Struthio camelus: one gene and its partner. The protein of the gene in region 1 interacts with the protein of each later gene in a biochemical or structural test. Links are inferred from orthologs where the notes say so. Each region holds a gene or a part of one and is shown on either strand. Other genes may lie near its edges. The genes, in order: STAT2 and IFNAR1.

The links.
Region 2: the proteins of STAT2 (region 1) and IFNAR1 form a complex in vitro, tested with the Homo sapiens proteins (2 studies listed by BioGRID). The link is inferred for Struthio camelus from reciprocal best matches to the Homo sapiens genes STAT2 and IFNAR1.

The regions. Positions count from the first base shown.
Region 1 is NC_090969.1:443,209-451,627, reverse strand, and holds the start of STAT2 (signal transducer and activator of transcription 2), read right to left. Parts: upstream 3,070-8,419; 5' UTR 3,030-3,069; intron 2,324-3,029; 5' UTR 2,230-2,323; coding exon 2,099-2,229; intron 2,005-2,098; coding exon 1,854-2,004; intron 1,777-1,853; coding exon 1,678-1,776; intron 1,603-1,677; coding exon 1,510-1,602; intron 1,433-1,509; coding exon 1,354-1,432; intron 1,244-1,353; coding exon 1,158-1,243; intron 1,083-1,157; coding exon 934-1,082; intron 863-933; coding exon 704-862; intron 625-703; coding exon 472-624; intron 351-471; coding exon 330-350; intron 198-329; coding exon 104-197; intron 1-103. Other genes in the region: APOF (apolipoprotein F), read right to left, coding at 4,102-5,127; protein timeless homolog, read right to left, coding at 5,831-5,946, 6,182-6,267, 6,438-6,477, 6,571-6,712, 6,794-6,912, 6,984-7,052, 7,140-7,308, 7,388-7,530 and 4 more. UniProt on the Homo sapiens protein: Signal transducer and activator of transcription that mediates signaling by type I interferons (IFN-alpha and IFN-beta).
Region 2 is NC_090942.1:120,306,572-120,315,104, reverse strand, and holds the start of IFNAR1 (interferon alpha/beta receptor 1), read right to left. Parts: upstream 3,227-8,533; 5' UTR 3,106-3,226; coding exon of another isoform or gene 3,042-3,105; intron 2,626-3,041; exon of another isoform or gene 2,586-2,625; intron 1-2,585. UniProt on the Homo sapiens protein: Together with IFNAR2, forms the heterodimeric receptor for type I interferons (including interferons alpha, beta, epsilon, omega and kappa).

The DNA of each region.
Region 1 (8,419 bases):
GTCCAGGGCCCGGGGAGGGGGCTCGAGCCGGGCTGGGGGTGCTGAGCCCCTGCCCCGCTCTCCCTGCCTGGAAGAGGACCCAGGCGTCCGGGGGGGTCTGTACCAGGTGCTGGAAGTCGCAGACCAGCCCGTCCTGGGGGCCGTCACCCGCCACCAGGGTTTTGCTGTTTGACGTCAAGATGTTGAACTTGCGGAAACTGCGGGGCAGAGAGAGGCCAAGGGTGGGGGCCGCTGCAGCTGGGACCCCCGCAGGGGCTGGGATCCTCCCTGGGAGCCGGGATCCTCCCTCGGGAGCCGGGACGCTTTGGGGGCCGGCACTCAGCTCTCACCCTCGGATCTTGGGGGGGTCCCTGCAAGAGACAGCAGGGCGTCAGCGGGCCCTGGGAGCCCCACGGCGAGGCTGGGGGGTCCCCAAATCCCCCCTCTGTGGGGAGGCGGGGGAATGCATCCGGGTGTGGGGGGGGGCCCGACCTGTCGATGTGGATCTTGGCCTCCATGTGGTGGCTGCGGTCGTGCAGGTGGACGAGGAGGCGGGCGCGGACGGAGAACTTGCTGGCCGTGCGCAGCACCAGCGGGCGCTTGCTGGAGGTGGGCATGCTGGGCTGGAGCTCCACCACGAAGGCGCTGGGGGCGAGCGGCCGGCGGGGGGTCAGGGCCGCCCCAGAGCCCTGCGTCCCCCCCCCCGCCCAGGCTTTGCGCCCACCTCTGGAGCAGGTAGGTGAGCAGCTCCCGCAGCCGCGTCTCCAGGAGGGGCGGCTCTGCCTGCAGCGGGTCCCTCTCGTAGGTCACCTTGTGCCGCAGGTCCCCCAGCGCCCGCAACAGCTGCAGCAGCTGGAAGAGCCCCTCGCCCAGCGCCGTGAACCTGCGGGCGCCGCGGCAGCGTCAGCGGGGGCCGGCCGCGGCGCCCCCAGCCCCGGCCCGGCCCGGCCCTACCAGGTCTCCAGCTGGAGCAGGCTGGTGTCGGCGGGGGCCCCCAGGCAGGCGCGCTGCTGCCGCTCCCGCCAGGCCCCCAGCTCCTGCTGCAGGAAGTCCCGCAGGGTCTCGCTGCGCCCCAGCAGCTGCTGCATTTGAGCCAGCACGTCCTGGGGGGAGACGGGAGCCTGAGCAGGGGGTGCAGGGCAGGCCTGGCCCCCCGCCCAGCTCAGGGCCCCGCTCACCCTCCGGCTCCGGTCCAGCTTCTGCAGCTTGGCCTGGAGCCCTTGGACCTGCTTGGCGTACTCGGGATCGCTGGTCCTGTTCTCGCCTGGGGGGTCAGGGGTGAGGGGGGGCCGGCACCCCGGCCCTCCCCGGCCCCGCGTCTCTGCTGCCTGCAGGGGTCGCAGGAAGGATTTGGGCACCCCAAACGAGCCTTACCCGGAAGGTAGTGCACCTTGTAGCAGAAATCAAACATGTCCTGCGCGTCTTCCAGGTGGCGGAAGGCGCGTTCGGCGTCCTGGGGGCAGAGCGGGGGGTGAGGGGGGCCGTGCCGCCCTGCGCCGCCCGGGTGGCCGTGCCGGCGGGGGCCGTTACCTGCAGGGCCGCCTGGAAGTCGGCCAGCCGGCGCTGGATCTCCTGCTGCCGGTCGCTCTGCGGGGGCGCGCTGGGCGCTGGGGCCGCCCCCCCCTGCGGAGACACGGGGCTCTTGGGCACCAGCCGGCCCGGCGGGCGGGGGGGGGCGCCTGCCGGCCCCCCTCCTACCTGCTGCCCCGCGTGCGCCAGGCGCAGGATGCGCTGCTCCTCCTGCAGCAGGTTGGCCACCAGGTTGGCAAATTTCTCCGGGTGCTCCTCGAAAGCAGCCTGCGGATGAGGTGGAGGGGGGGGTCAGCAGGGTGCGGAGCCCCCCCAGGACCCCCCAGCCCAGCCTCGCCGCCTACCTGGAGGTCGCGCCTGGCCTTGCGCAGGTTGTGTTTGAGCATGAAGTCCTCGTCGCCCAGCCCCGGGCTGCCCAGCTGGTCGCCCAGCAGCGCCAACAAGGAGTGGAAGAGCATCCGGGCGTGGGAGGAGAGCGGCTCGGCCGCCTGGCGCCTGCCGGCCCCGCGCGGGGTCAGCGGGGACCCGGCGCGGTTCCCGCCGCCCCAGGGCTCCCCCCGTCCCGTCCCCCCCCCCACCGCCCCCTTACCAGTTCTGGTCCTCGATCCAGGCCGCCAGGCACTGGCGCACCTCCATGGGCAGCGCCACGCTGCTGTACAGCTGGTCGACCTGCTCCAGGGCGGCGTTGGCCAAGCTCTGCAGCTCCTGCCACTGGGCCATGCTGGGGCCAGGCGAGGCCGCTCGCTCGGCAGGCGGCTCAGCCGCGGGCCCTGCCCCGGCCCGGGGCTCCGTGCAGGCGCTGGCAGCCCCGGTCCTGGCCCGGCGGGGAGCGGTGAGCCAGGGAGGGCGTCGGGCTGGGACCCGGCCCGGGACAGGCGTGCTCGGGGGGGCCGAGATACGGGGTGGGGAGGCAGCCCTCCCCAGAACAAGGGGAGCGTCCCAGGGCACCCCCCAAAGCGGCTCCCTGCACCCCCCCAGCAGCACCCCCAAAGGACCCCTCGCAGGGCCTCCCTGCAACCCCCCCCGGGGGCACCCCCTAAACAGGGCTCCCTGCGCCCCCCAGGGGCACCCCCCAAAGGGCCACCCTGCACCCCCCCCGGGGCACCCTTGGCAGGGGCTCCCTGCACTCCCCCGGGGACGCCCCCTAAACAGGGCTCCCTGCAACCCCCAGGGACGCCCCCCGGCAGGACCACCCTGCACCCCCCCGGGGACGCCCCCTAAAGAGGGCTCCCTGCACCCCCCCAGGGACACCCCCTAAACAGGGCTCCCTGCACCCCCCCGGGGACACCCCCCGGCAGGACCACCCTGCACCCTGCCTAGGGACGCCCCTAAAGAGGGCTCCCTGCACCCCCCCAGGGACACCCCCTAAACAGGGCTCCCTGCACCCCCCCGGGGACGCCCCCCGGCAGGACCACCCTGCACTCCCCCGGGGACGCCCCCTAAAGAGGGCTCCCTGCGCCCCCCGGCGCCCCCCGGCGCCCCCCGCGGCCCCCGCCCGGTGCTCGGCGCTGCGCTCCCACCTCGGCCCCCTCCGCGGACTGCCGGGACGGGGCGGGGAGGGCTCCGTGGCCCCGCCCCCTCGCCGCTCTGCGCAGCCATTGGCGGAGAGCGGCGCCGTGGCCACGCCCCCCCGGCCGGGAGATAAGTCTTCCCGCGGGGTCGCCCGCTTCCCAGAAATGACGTGTGGAGGGGGGCGGGGCCATGGGGGGCGGGGCTAACGGGGCAGGGAGGGGGAAGATGGTGGCGCCCTGCTGGGGGCAGGCCGCGGCGGCAGGGACCTGGAGCCAGGGCCGTGGGGCCAGAGCTATGGGGACAGGACCATGGGGCCAGGAACAGGCTGTGGGGCCAGGGCTGTGAGGCCAGGGCCAGGCTGTGGGGCCAGAGCTATGGGGACAGGACCATGGGGCCAGGAACAGGCCGTGGGGCCAGAGCTATGGGGACAGGACCATGGGGCCAGGAACAGGCTGTGGGGCCAGGGCTGTGAGGCCAGGGCCAGGCTGTGGGGCCAGAGCTATGGGGACAGGACCATGGGGCCAGGAACAGGCTGTAGGGCCAGGGCTGTGAGGCCAGGGCCAGGCTGTGGGGCCAGAGCTATGGGGACAGGACCATGGGGCCAGGAACAGGCTGTGGGGCCAGGGCTGTGAGGCCAGGGCCAGGCTGTGGGGCCAGAGCTATGGGGACAGGAACAGGCTGTGGGGCCAGGGCTGTGAGGCCAGGGCCAGGCTGTGGGGCCAGAGCTATGGGGACAGGAACAGGCTGTGGGGCCAGGGCCAGGCTGTGGGGCCAGGGCCATGGGGACAGGGTCATGGGGACAGGAACAGGCTGTGGGGCCAGGGCTGTGGGGCCAGGGCCGGGCTGTGGGGCCAGGGCTATGGGGCCAGCCCGGCTGCCCCAGCCACCCCGGCGCGGCGGCGCTGCTGGGGCAGGCAGGCAGGGCTGGCAGGGGCCAGAGCCCTGCCGTTGGCGCGGGCCGGGCCAAGTTCCCCTTGCCCCGGGGCAGGGTGACCCAGCCATTGATCGTGGCCTGCCCCACACGCACGCATGCACGCACGCACACGCAGCCAGAGGCGCTGCCAGGTGTTTATTGGCGGCTCAGACGAGGAGGACAGGGCCGGCGTGGGCCGTGGGGGCCGGCGGGGGGTCCCCGTCCGAGGTGAAGTAGCAGATGAGGGCCCGCACGCTGGCCTTGAGCCCCGGCTGCAGCCCCAGGTGGACGCCGTAGGCCACGGGGCCGCCCGCGGCGGCGCTGAGCGCCGTGAGGCTGTCGTAGCCCAGGTCGACGGCCGCCTCCAAGGCCCGCTCAGACGCCAGCTCCTCGCAGCCCTGGTAGGCGTAGTAGAGGCTGGTGCCCAGGTTGTACAAGGTGCTGATGCTGGGCACCCACTCCAGGATCCTGTGCACCTCCTGCTCCCCCGGCGAGCTGCAGATGTCCTCGCTGGAGCGCCGGCTCCGGCCCCGGGGCGCCCGGCTGCACCGCTGGAGCCAGGAGCGGGCCCCCAGCGCCGGCAGCACCTGGGCGCCCTGACGCCGCACGGCCTGGAAGGAGGAGGGCCCCGCGGCTGCCACGCCGGCGCAGGCAGCCTGCAGGCGCTGGCAGGCCCTCGCGGCCCCGGCGAAGCGGCTGTGGGTGCTGGCCACGGGGCCCCAGAGCTGGATGTTGGAGAGCGGCGTCAGGCCGGCGCAGGGCTGGACGGGGACGGAGGCGCCGAGCTGGGCCAGGCTCAAGAGCAGGGGCAGGTGGCCGCTGCCCGGGGCACGCTGGAGCCGCACCAGCCCCTGCAGCAGGGCCTCAGCCGTGGGGCCCTCAAGCTCCCGGTACAGCCCCAGCACCAGCGCCTCGGCCTGGGGGCCGCAGCCCGCCTCGCTGAGCGCCAGCGCCAGGGCAGCCTGGGCCAGCACGCGGGGCAGCGCCGGGAGCTGGGAGAAGCCGGGCAGGGCATCGGGCTGCAGGTCACGGCAGGAGACGCCGGCGGCCCCGGGCAGTGCCTGCGGCAGGCCCAGCTCGGAGAGCCGCGCCAGCAGCGCCCGAGCTGCGGCGGCAGCGTCCGGCCCGGGGGGCACGGTGGAGCTGGCCGCAGCGCCAAGGCAGAGGAGGAGGCTGAGCAGAGCCCAGCGCATGGCAGGTCGTTCCCGGCAGAGCCTGTCAAGGCAGCAGGAGGGGGCAGAGCCCATGAGCTCCCGGTGGCCACAGCTCCCCCCCCCCCCCCCAACCACCCCAGCCCCACCAGCGCCCCCGCTCACCCACTGCCGATGCTCGCGTCCCCAAGCCCGCAGGACAGCCGCTGCGTGTCTGTGGCCGACCCCCTTCTCTGGTCCTTTTATAGCCCCTGCCTGGGCCCTTATCGAGGGCCGGTTGCGACACGCTGGGGGCTGGGCCCGATCCTGCAAGCATCTTGGCACCTTCCCGGAACAGAGGGGTGGGAGGGGACAGAGGTCTCCACCCAGCGCGGTGGGACAGAGGAGGGGACGCAGCAGGGATGGGGCAGTGCTCCCCCCATGGGAACGAAGGCATCCAAGTCAGGGAGAGATTTGCACTTTTTATTTGGTCTCTTTCCCCATTAAAAGGTGGCATTAGAAAAGAAAAGGACATCCTTGAGAAACAGCAACCTTTAAACTAAAAACACGGAGATGGACATGAGAAGGGGAGAGGAGGGGGACAGTGGGAGCCTGCTTTCACCCCACCCTTAAAAACTAGTTTAAAAACCTGCAGAAAAAGCAGAAAACTAAATACAAGGAAGCCCACAGGGAGCAGGGCCCGCAGCCCCCTGCTCCCTGCAGGGCTGGGATACACTGAGGGTCTGGGCAGGGCACAAAGAGCCTTTCAGTCCTCCTCTTCCTCTTCCTCCTCCTCCACGCGGCGAACCCGCTTCCGCCTGCTGGGGGGCTGCAGCACCTCATCCTCCTCCACACAGGGCCCAGCAGGGCCTGGCCCAGCACCTGCAGGGGCAGAGGGGGTCCAGTGGGGGCCGGGACCCCCAGCACCATACTCTGCCTGGGGTGGGGGCCCAGCCCTGCACTCAGCCTTCCTCCCAGCCCCACGCTCTGGGGGGCAGGGACATGGTGAGCATCACCCAGCAGCAGCCCTGTGGGAGACCCCCTGGGCCCTGGTGGGGGGCTGCGAGCCCCCCAGGGAGGTGCTGTGTTACATGCAAGAAGCAGGGGCGCAGCTCACCCAGGCTTGCAGTGTCCTCGTCGTCACTGTGCACCTGCCACCTCCGCTTGGTGCCCGCCTGTGCCGGGACCGGGCCCGGCTCAGCACTGTAGCGATGGCGACGGGTTAGAAGAGGCCGACGCTGCGCTGCCCAGCCCCAGGGGCACAGGTCTGTCCCCACCACACGGGGAGAGGCCAGGAGTCTGCCCCCCCCCCCCAAGCTGGGAGAAGACCCAGGTGTCTGGGGCAGGGGTCTAGCAAGAGCTCCCCTTCTCACCTCTCCAAGTCCGATCCCGGCGAAGCCGGTGGCTGCTCTGCTGAGAGGGACAAGGGAAAGAGCGGATCAGGGCTGGTCCCGTCGCTGGGAGAGCCCTGAGCCCAGCTCCCCCCACCCTGTCCCGGCCCCTCACCTGGAGCTGGCCCCTGGGGATGCTGCGGTGCCGAGAGCTGTCCCGGGGATCCCTCGGGCTCAGGTCCTTGGCGGGCGAGGGAGGCAGCCGCACGGCGGAGCTGCTGGGGCGTGAGGGTGGCCGGGATGCGCCAGAAGGACTCCTGGGTAGAGAGGGGAGATGCTGCAGGGCTGGGCTACGCCGTGCCTGGGGGGCATGGTGGTGGTGGTGGGGGGGGTCTCACCTGCTCGCTGGCAGGGGGCCGGACCCCCAGCTTCCGCAGCAGGGCCTGGAAGCGCCTGTCCTCCATAGCGTCCTCGTTCTCCTCCGAGAGCGGCACCAAGGGCACCGGGTGGGACACGCCTGGGCACAGAGAGTGCCGTGAGCCTGGCCCTGGCCCCGGCCCCGGCCCCCAGCCCCAGGCTCCCACTCACCGTCCTCCTCGCGGTCCCCAGCCGTCCGCTTCAAGTAGTTCTCCAGCCACTGCAGAGGCCCAGCCAGGCCTGCGGACACGGAGAAGGCCAGACAGGATCCATCCTCCCGGAGCCAAACGCAAACCAGAGGCCTGAACAGCCTCAGCCCCCACTCACCTTCCTGCCTCAGACGCTGTGCCAGTCCCTGCCCAGCCCCGTCTTCAGGCACCCAGTGCTCCTCCATGGGGCCTTCCTCAGCACCGTCCTCTTCCTCCTCCTCCTCGTCACTGTCGCCCTCCTCTGCTGAGCTGTCCCGGGCGGGTGCCCCCAAGGGCTCCATCTCATCCTACCAAGGACCAGCCCTGCCTTCCAGCACCCACCTGGGACAAGGCTCCCTCCTCACCCTTCCCGCACACCCCTCCTACCGCCAGGAGGGCATGGCCCTTCCTCCTGCGTTTCTTGTACAGTTCCTTGCGCTCCGACACCAGCCCCAGCCCCAGCAGCTTCTCCACCACGCGGGCCCGGGACCGCCTGGCTGTCAGGTTCTTCATGATGTTGCCCAGGACATCTATGGGGAGGTGAGGAGTGAGTGTGGGGCACCAAGCCTGGCCAGAGCCCCAACCTGGGGGCTGCCCCACTGGGCGCCCACCCCTGCCCGGCCCCACCCACCATCTGTGCCCTGGAACTCCTCAAAGAGCCGCTCCAGCTCCAGCTCCTGCTCCTGCGTCCACAGCACGATGCGGGTGCCCTTCCTAGGGGGATTGCAACTGCTCAGCCCTGCCTTGGAGCTGGGAAAGAACCCAGGCGACCAGGCCCCCTGGCCCTGAGGACATCAAACAAAGGCATCCTGCCCCAGTGGCGGCCAGACCCACCTCTCCCGTGGGAAGTCCTTGACGCTGTTGGCCAGCCCCAGCCGCACCAGCTGGTTCACAACTTGTCTCCGCGTGCGCCCAGGCGCCTGCAGGTGGGCCAGGATGTTTGCAATGATGTCCTCCCCTACGGGAGCAGGAGACTGTTGTGGAGGAGCAGGAAGAAACCTTGACTGCCCCCACTCCTCCCACAGAGGACCCAGGAATCCAGTTCTTCCCCCAGACTCTTACTCCCCCCTCCTCAGGCCGTTACCTTCCACCTCCTTGTACTTCCAGTAAAGCTCTCGCAGCTCCCGTTCCTCCTGGGGAGTCCAGGCTGGGGCCTTCCGTGTGCTGGCCCTGAGCAGAGGTGGAAGGGATGTGAGGGGACAGGGAAGGGCAGTGGCGATCCCCTCCTCAGCCCCAGGGTGCTGGGTCCTTACTCACCCCTCGCCCTCCTGCAGCGAGCTGTAGCCCTCAGCCATCTCGCGGGTGACCGCTGGGCTCTTCCAGAAGAGCAGCTCTACGTAGGCCTTCTTGTTGGTAGCTGCCAGCGCGAAGAACTTGCCCAGGATGAACTTGGCCAGAGTCACCAGCTCCTGAGGGGAG
Region 2 (8,533 bases), on another chromosome or scaffold:
TGAAGAGAGAGAATTTGTTCAAGACAGCAAGATTCACAATACACTGCCTTGAATTGCACATACCCTCACGGAGAGGTTTGCAACGCCTGTTTAATTTAGGATTTGCTGCCTTAGAAAAAGCAGCTGCCTTATAAGTTCACCTTGAATCTTTAAATACTGTTTAAAATGAAAACAAGTTGTTAGATCAAAAGTTGCTTAAAATTATACATCATTTCACTCAAAATGGAAATGCTGAAACAAGAACGATTTCTTAATCTCCTATTTGAATTATGAAGAACATGAAAGTATACTCCTATTTCATGACTGTTATAATACTGTTTTATGGCAGACTTCATAACAGAGAGGATAAAGTGATGATTTATATTTTTCCTCAACTCCCTCCCATCTTTTTCAGATGTAAAATCATGACAAGTCTGACTTTAAACCTAAAAGTTTTTCAATAACTTGAGCAGTTTGACAATGATTCAGCATCTGGGACCACAACTTGCGGTAGTGACAAAATCGCTTTTGATATCAGTATGTTTTATTTAAGTTTATCCAAACAGTTCCGTATAAGAAACGGTCAAAGGCTGAAAAACAGATTAGCCAATAAAAAAGATGGAAAGTTTGTTTTCTTCTTCTCCACTAGAAAGAGGAGATGAAAAGATCGCATCATTCTAAAACCCTGATGAATCAGTCGTCGATGGCGAATTCTCCCATTAAAGGGAATTCTTCCATTGCTTAATAAATCAATATTAGAGATATGTATCTTATACACTCGTACCAGTTTTACCTGAAAAAACTAAAACTTCATTAAGAATAATCTGCCTGTGAATTTTAATTGAATTTTAGTTTCCATTCCAAATAGTGCCTGATAGAAATCATGATATTTCTATGCAGAACGGATCACCATTTTCCCCAGGTGTAAAGTATTAAAAACATAAATGCATATTATAACTGTAGCTGCTTACATAGATATGTGGGGAACATGATCTTATGGGGAACAGAAAGGATAGCCAAGATTCGGATAATCCCCATAATTTAGATATTTAGATAATTAGAATCAAACTTTTCATAAATAAACAAATGTAAACCAGACTAAAGTTAGTCACTAAAATCAAGACTTCTTGCTGGCTTATTTTACTCTTGATTAAACGCAGTCACATTTAAGATCAATTCATACTTCTTAATATAAAGCATCACAACACTTTGGTGCTGAGGATAATATTATAAGAGATTAGACTGCCAAAGAAAGAAGAGATTAAAGACAAAAAAAACTTTTAGCAAGATTTCCTATCTTCCTTCCCTTGTCATATTTTTATAAACTCAAATAAATAAAAATCTGTTCTAATGCTATAAGCTAGTGATACTCAAAGGATAAATGACAATTAATTAATTCCAGTGAGTATTTTCAATAAGCGATGGTTGAAAATAACAAAGATTACGTAACACAGCAGCATAACAAAAAGTCATCTAACAACAGAAGAAACTAGTTTTAGCAAGACACAAATATACCTCCTCAGAAGAGGGCAAAGTAGAGCATCACGTTAACTATGTGGGTGGAACCAATGGAAACTTTAACTCAACCTTTAGCATAGGAAGGAAAGGAGATCTATTATATGTGATACTAAAACACATTGAAAAGAACAACAAAACCCACAACCAAACCCATATCAGAGACAATCAAACTGTTATTGGCTCCATGGACGGAAAGGTTCTCTACAGAACCAAGGTTACTGCAAGAACTTTTAATCAGGAGTAGCAGAAAGGAACAGCTGTTTTTTGGCAAGGCAGAAGGTGAGAGGTCACTGCAGCCGGCCAGTTTCTTCTAACCCTTGTGGTATGTGGCACGTTATTCATTTTCTATAAATGTGTGGGTTAATCAAAGTAGCCACATGTATCGTAATACTTCCAGTTCGGGACTGGAATTTTGGGGTGATGCACTAAGCGTTCATTTACAAACCAGAAGATATCAAATAGCTGAAAGCAAGAAACACAAGAGGTCCTCAAACTGCTTGAATCCTACCACAAACATGAAGTGTGGACCCCAGAAAACAGCCTCCAGCCTTCCTTTAGGTATGCCAAACTGAAACAATGCAATCTTATAGAGTTACCAGAACTCAGCCTAGCTTAGGATCAGAAGCGCATACGCACACTAGCCCATAGCTCTAACATCTCCGTTATTCAAACTAGCTTAGCCCAAATATTCTCTGCTGCATTCTGTCATGTATCATAAATATGCAGGAAGGTAATTTACAGCTTACAGGAGATGCCTGACATCTCCCTCTCAAGAAAGCAGGCTCTGAGCAACATGTGGTTTCCCTATGCTTAAGGATATAACAAGAGGCTTATGTTGCTATCACATAAGGTAAAATCCTCCTGCAATCTTACTTTTCTCATTTCCCTATTTAAACTTTATGCTCTACCAAGCTAAGTAGAGATGCCTTTCAAGCAAACTAGCACGATTCAAGAACCTGTTTGCAAAACACTTACACTACAGCCACTACTTTTCATATACAGCAGGTAAACCTGAAGCAGACTGGATAATACAGCTACCTAAATGTATCACCTACGGTAAAAACCGAGACGCTAGGTGGCTAACTTACACCGAGCCCTGCTCACTCAAGACGATACACCCAATCCAGATTCAAGATCCGGGCTGCTTTTATACCCTCCGAGCTGTGCCTACACCACAGCGCCCACGCTGCCAGCAGCTTCTAGGACCACGTCTCACCACAAAGCCTCCTGAAGAAACCGAGAGCCGAGCCGCGAACGGCAAGCACCGCTACGGGTCTCGGCGGCGGGGCGCGGGCGGACAGCAGCACAGAGCCCAGGCACAAGGCACGACCCGCGGCTACCGGCGCCGCCGGGGGCCACACGGCTGACAAGAGGGCTGGGCACGCGACCCCGCTTCGCCAACGGCCGCCAACGGCCAGAAGCGGCGGCGCGCGCCGCGCCGCGCCGACCCCCCCCCCCCACCCCGCTACGCTAACGGACGCGGCGCGAGCCGCCCCCGCGCGCCCCGCCGCCAAAGGCGCAGCGCCCTACCCTCCCGGGCCCACCTGCGCAGCGGGGGGCCAGCGCGACCAGGAGGCACGAGAGGAGCCCCGCGAGCAGCCCCGCCATGGCTCCGCGACCCGCCTAAGCCGCGGCGGCCGCCACCGTCCCGCCGCCCATCCGGCAGCTGCTACCGCGGGCGGTCGCGCAGCTCCCGGAAGCCTCGGGCACGCCGCGCATGCGCGGACCGCCTTCCGCGCCGCTGCGGCCTGCGAAATGGCGGCGGTGGTGGGTGATGAGGGCGTGTTAAGACGGGGAGAAACGTCGGCCTGGGGGCGACTAGCGGCCCGTCAGATGTTTTGCTTCCAGCAGTGGCAGTAGGAGATGTCGTCTGAGGAGAGCAAGTGGGTTTGGACGCTCTGTGGTGCGTCTCCAGAGAAAACCCAGAGAGCTGGGTGTCTTCTGGTGGGGAGGAACTTGGCTTTGGCATAAATTCGTTCTTCTCAGCCGTCTTGTCAGCGCTCATGTTTCCTGTCCTTGGCCTGCCGGTGCTGTCTGGTAGCTTGCTCTCCTCCCAAAGCCGAGAGAACCCATTCACACAACCCTAAGGGAAAGGGGCCTTTCTGACAATGTGCCCCCTTATAGATAGTCAAAAAAATCAACAAATCACAAGATACTTTGAGTCACAGAGGGAGAAACAAAATCTGTAGAGTTTCAGGAGTTAGGGCGATTGTCTGCAGAGGGGAAAATCTGTGTTCTGGTCTAGTCTGCCCTGCTCCTTGAGTGTATGATGAAGGCTACAGTGAGTGTTCAATGCAGCATGCATACTGCTGCCCTTGCAGTGGGGTTTGGACCCCAGCTTACTCTTTTTGCAGGTAGGAGTCCTAGTTTCTTGACTACAGAGCTCGCCTTCCCTTTTTCTGTTTCATATTTTTCAATAAGGTTATCCAGCTGCAATGGGAGGAGCAATGAGAGGTTACCTTTCACTTCCTACCCCCTGAAAACAACCTACTCCTAAGTGGGCACAACAGTGTATTCAGAGATGAGGATTTGAAACTCCAGCAGGCAAAGGCCTGTATTTTCCACATCCTAGGTGCTATGAATATGACATTATTTGTGGCATAAGGAAGCAACAATGCTTCCAGCCATGCTTCTGGACAAAAATGGTATTGGCTGCTGCCTTTTCTGCCATGAGGTGTTTGATATGCTTTGAGCATGTCTACTAAATCTAGGCCCTCTGGGAACACAGGCGGGGAGCACACAAGATGCTCATGATTGGAGCCTAAATTCTTTTGGTCTGTAAATCTTTAAGAAATGCTTGAGGACTACTCAAGCAAGATACACAAATGAGCAAAATCAGCTTTATTTTGAGATACAGGTGTAGGGACCCTGTTCTGACCATGAGGCAGTTAAGTCACCAGTACCACGTGAGATGGCAAAAGTTGAGCCAGAGACAGATCATTTTTATGGTTTGTATCATATTTTCGTATGATAACCTTTCTATGAGTTGCTTTTCCAAGGTGGTCATCAACATGGGAACAGGTAACCACAATGTCAGTTCCGTTTGTACATCTGTCACTCTGCTGCTCTTATTTACTTCACATTGATTATTACTTTTTTTTTTTTTAATTACAATACAGATCCTTTCTAATTGCAGAACTGTAAGTGTCATATTCTTAGGGACCAAGAAGAGAAATGCTAGTGTGCAGCCTTCTGATCAGCTATTGAAGACATAATCACAAAGCTTCAGAAGATCCTAGGGCCAATGTAGTTCCACTTGAAGTCAGTCATTAAATATGCTTCAGAGGGGTGTGTATATCTCAGTCATATTCCATTTCTAGATGGTCTCAAAAATGTGAATGAAGGTGAAATACTATGGACCCAATATTGTCAGAAATACCACAATTATGTTCATAATAAAAAGCCCATACCATTAATATCAAACTGTACTTGTGAAATGTAGATGCTATTAGTTCCTGCAAATGAATGGATGCATGTACAGGCTTACTCGGCTCAGGGAGGTAAAAGCTGCAAACCTGTACCATCAAAAATACTGATGATTAAGAGGAGGTTAATACCATTTTGGTGAAGACTTAGAGGAGGTTGTGGATAATTATATCCTTTGAAACACCCAGTGTCTAATGTTGTCTAGCATGTTACAAGTGCCTATGCTTAGCACAATTTCTTTAAAGAAAAAGTAGTTTATGGAGTTTTTAAGCAATGAATGTAATTTTACTTTCTGTTTTCTATTATTAATCTGTTTTGATCAATAAGTATACAATGCAAAAAATTTATAATGCAGAGGTTTATTTATTGTGAAAGATAATTGATTGAGTGAATGATAGAATTGTTACACTATTGAGTACCAGTCATTTTGGGCTATCATGTCTATCAGGATCATCATATGATGTAGTCACCAGATAATCAGTGAGGAAAAGCAGTTTTGTGATGAAAGCAAAACAAGTAGGGCCTAATCTGTTTGCGAAATATTAGTTTCACCGTGATTACCATGTGTGGTTTCTGTGTAAACAAGTTGTTCTCTAAAACAAAGGCAATTATTTATCTTCTTTATGAAGCTGTAAAACAAAAAAAGTTAGTATATTAGCATTATTGAACCATCTTTGAAATCTTAACATGAGGATTTCAAAGCAACATTCAACACAGCTATTATACTACCACAGGCAGTACACATCTAACCTTTTAGCAGTAAGCGCTCTCTAATAAATGAAGTGAAATGATAACCTTTTATTAGCTCCGTGGTATTAAGAACACCATTTTGAAGAGACAGACTTTCCAGTGGCAGTCAATTTTCTTTTAGTCCTTTGTGAGTAATTCTTTGATAATTTTCTAATACTGACATGCACTGGCCACACTAGGACTCTCCAGATGATGGTCTCCCTGATAAGGAACCCAAATGGCATATTATTTTGCCAATGGTTACCACAAAACAGGCCTTCACTTGGTGCGTCAGTGATGCCACAGTCCTCCACCTGAGGAAGACGCATACCGTCCTATAGGGTCAAACCAGGCCTATACTACGCAGCCCTTTCCCATTATAAGATGGGTCATATTGCGCATGAAAAAATAGACTTGTCCATGAGGGCTCCACCCCTTCCCAGGACTGCTAGGTTTACGGTGCGTGCACGAATCGTGTATGCGGCAGATGCACGCAAGGTTCAGTGTTTCCTGGAAGTGCCATCTTTTCTGACACACATGAACTTATAGAGATGCAGACACCAATAAGAAACATGCTTATTTGGTGCCTGCAGCCTGTTGCTGCACAGATCTGAGGACCACCTGGGAAGACGGCCATGTAGGAGGAGGCAGCTGCTGTCAGAGCAGTTCATACGGCCTCGCTCAGCTCCTCGCACACCCAAGCGCTCCTGAAACTGAGCTGGGGAGCAAGCAATGGGCTCTGGTGGCAGCACTTGCTACGTGATGAGAGAAGGACTTTGACAACAGAAAATGCTGGTGCCTGAGAGCGTGACTGCCAGCTCTTGGCTAGTGTTTCCATCTTGCAGCTCACTTTCAAGAGGCTTCTAGGAAAAGACTACCGAGAAGGAGCTGCGGACTGGATGAATTGTTCTGCACAGCTGTAGGCTTAACAGCCCCTCATAGACAGTCATGAAGTGCTAAAAGTCAAGAGATGTACTCAGCACATTTCTTTCAAGTCTAGTGAGAGGAAAACTAAGCTCTTTAAAGTTAGGAGTTGGCTGCAAGAATTATGAAAGATGTGTTACTGCAAGATGGAAGGTACTCCTATACTAAAAAGAGGAGGTTAGTTAAAAGCATGTTATAAGGTAGAGCTGCTCAGCCAGGAAAACATTGCCAGGAGAAAGAAATTTATGCTGCACTTCAAGAATGGACTGTTACTGAAATAAATGATGCGTTACGATGGAGCCTGTAAAGGATAAATGGCTGCCTATAACATATCGCTTAGGAGGATGTATTGTTGCAGGGCATTTTTCACCCTCAGCCAAATTTGTTCTATGATAATTTGTTATCTTATGCTCAAAGTGTACAGGAAAACATATTTACAGCAAGTTATTTTATGTAAATTGCATTTCACAGCAACCATTTTGCAGTCTATATCATGAAATGAACTGCACCTAATGTGCTAGTCTATTGCTGGTGGAAATAATTAGAAGTCTAATAAATATACCACAGTGTTTACAGTTTATATTCCTGTAAAACTGAATGCAACTTCCTCACTGGTCTTACAGAAGAAAGAGACAGAAACTGGAGTCAGTCCAATCTATTAGAAGACAGGCTCTATCTACAGTACACAGGCAACCCAACACAGGGGAAGATGGTGTGTTCCCCTGTGAATATCACTGTCAGTACTAAAACATCTGTGCAGTGGCGGCAGCTAAGCCAGGCAGGCTCCATTGCATTTATTTCAGTTGGCTCACAGACAAAGGAGAAGCCTTTTGCTTATTTCTTCTGTGAACTCTGGAGCGCGATAAAAGAAGCAAATACAGTATTTCGTCTTTTTAGAAAAGCATAGAAAAGTCGTGCCACAAAGGCAGAACCCTAGGAGGCCCAGCAGTTCATTGTGCAGCCCCAAGGCAGGATCAGTTGTTTTTGTCTCCTTTCTAATGGATATTTGTTTTTAGGTTTTTATGCCACCTTCCAGGCAATATCTTCCATGTCTTTTCTGTTGTCATCATTATAAAACTGTTCCTCATAGGGCTGCCTGTTGCAGTCTAGTAACTTGCTTCCTGTCTATCGTGGACATTTATAAAAGAGTTTATTCATTTCCTGTTTTCAGCAGCCTTTTACATATTTGGAGGTTGTTATGTCCCCATCAGACTTCTCTTTGTGAGGCTACATAATACCAGTTCTTTTAATTTTCCTTCACAGAGCGTATTTTGTTGTCCTCCTCCAGACTTTTCTCAGCACTGGATATAGCCTTCCACATGGCCTTGCAAGTGCTAAATAGTGGGAAGGATTATTTTACGTGTCTCATGGACTGTACTGTGGTTTGTGTCCTCTGCATAGTATTTGCCCCTTTTGGAACAGTGAAACATTTTGGAAGATGAAAACATTACAAATAAAGTATATGTTCAAAAAATGCCTGCTTCCTTCCCAGCATTGTGTCGCACGAAACCCCACTAACTTCTTCACAAATGGAGATTTTTCCCCTCCCCCTTCCAAAGGGAGTGGCATGAAGTAGGACAGGGTTATAGTTTAGGGATTTTCCATATAAATGCTACTACAACAGAGAAAACTTTTGTCCGTGTAAACAGATCTGTGTCTGTATCTTTCTAACATCACAAGCAATTTGCTTCTGAGATTTTACTGTTGTTGGAACCAGAGTATTTCACATTGGGGCAAGCTACATAACAGCGGTGCAAGTTTTCCAAAATATTCCCATGTTCCTTCTCATACTATTTTAGACTTCAGTCTGAACCAGCTGCTTGCTGGCTTCTGTTGTTGCCGAGATCCCCCATGGGATGGTATATCCCTATTTTCTCATTCTAGTTCCTGAATCTTTGCAGATTTGTCCCCTAGTGGAAATTCCTCCCTGACTTTTTCAGGGATTGTCCAGGACACA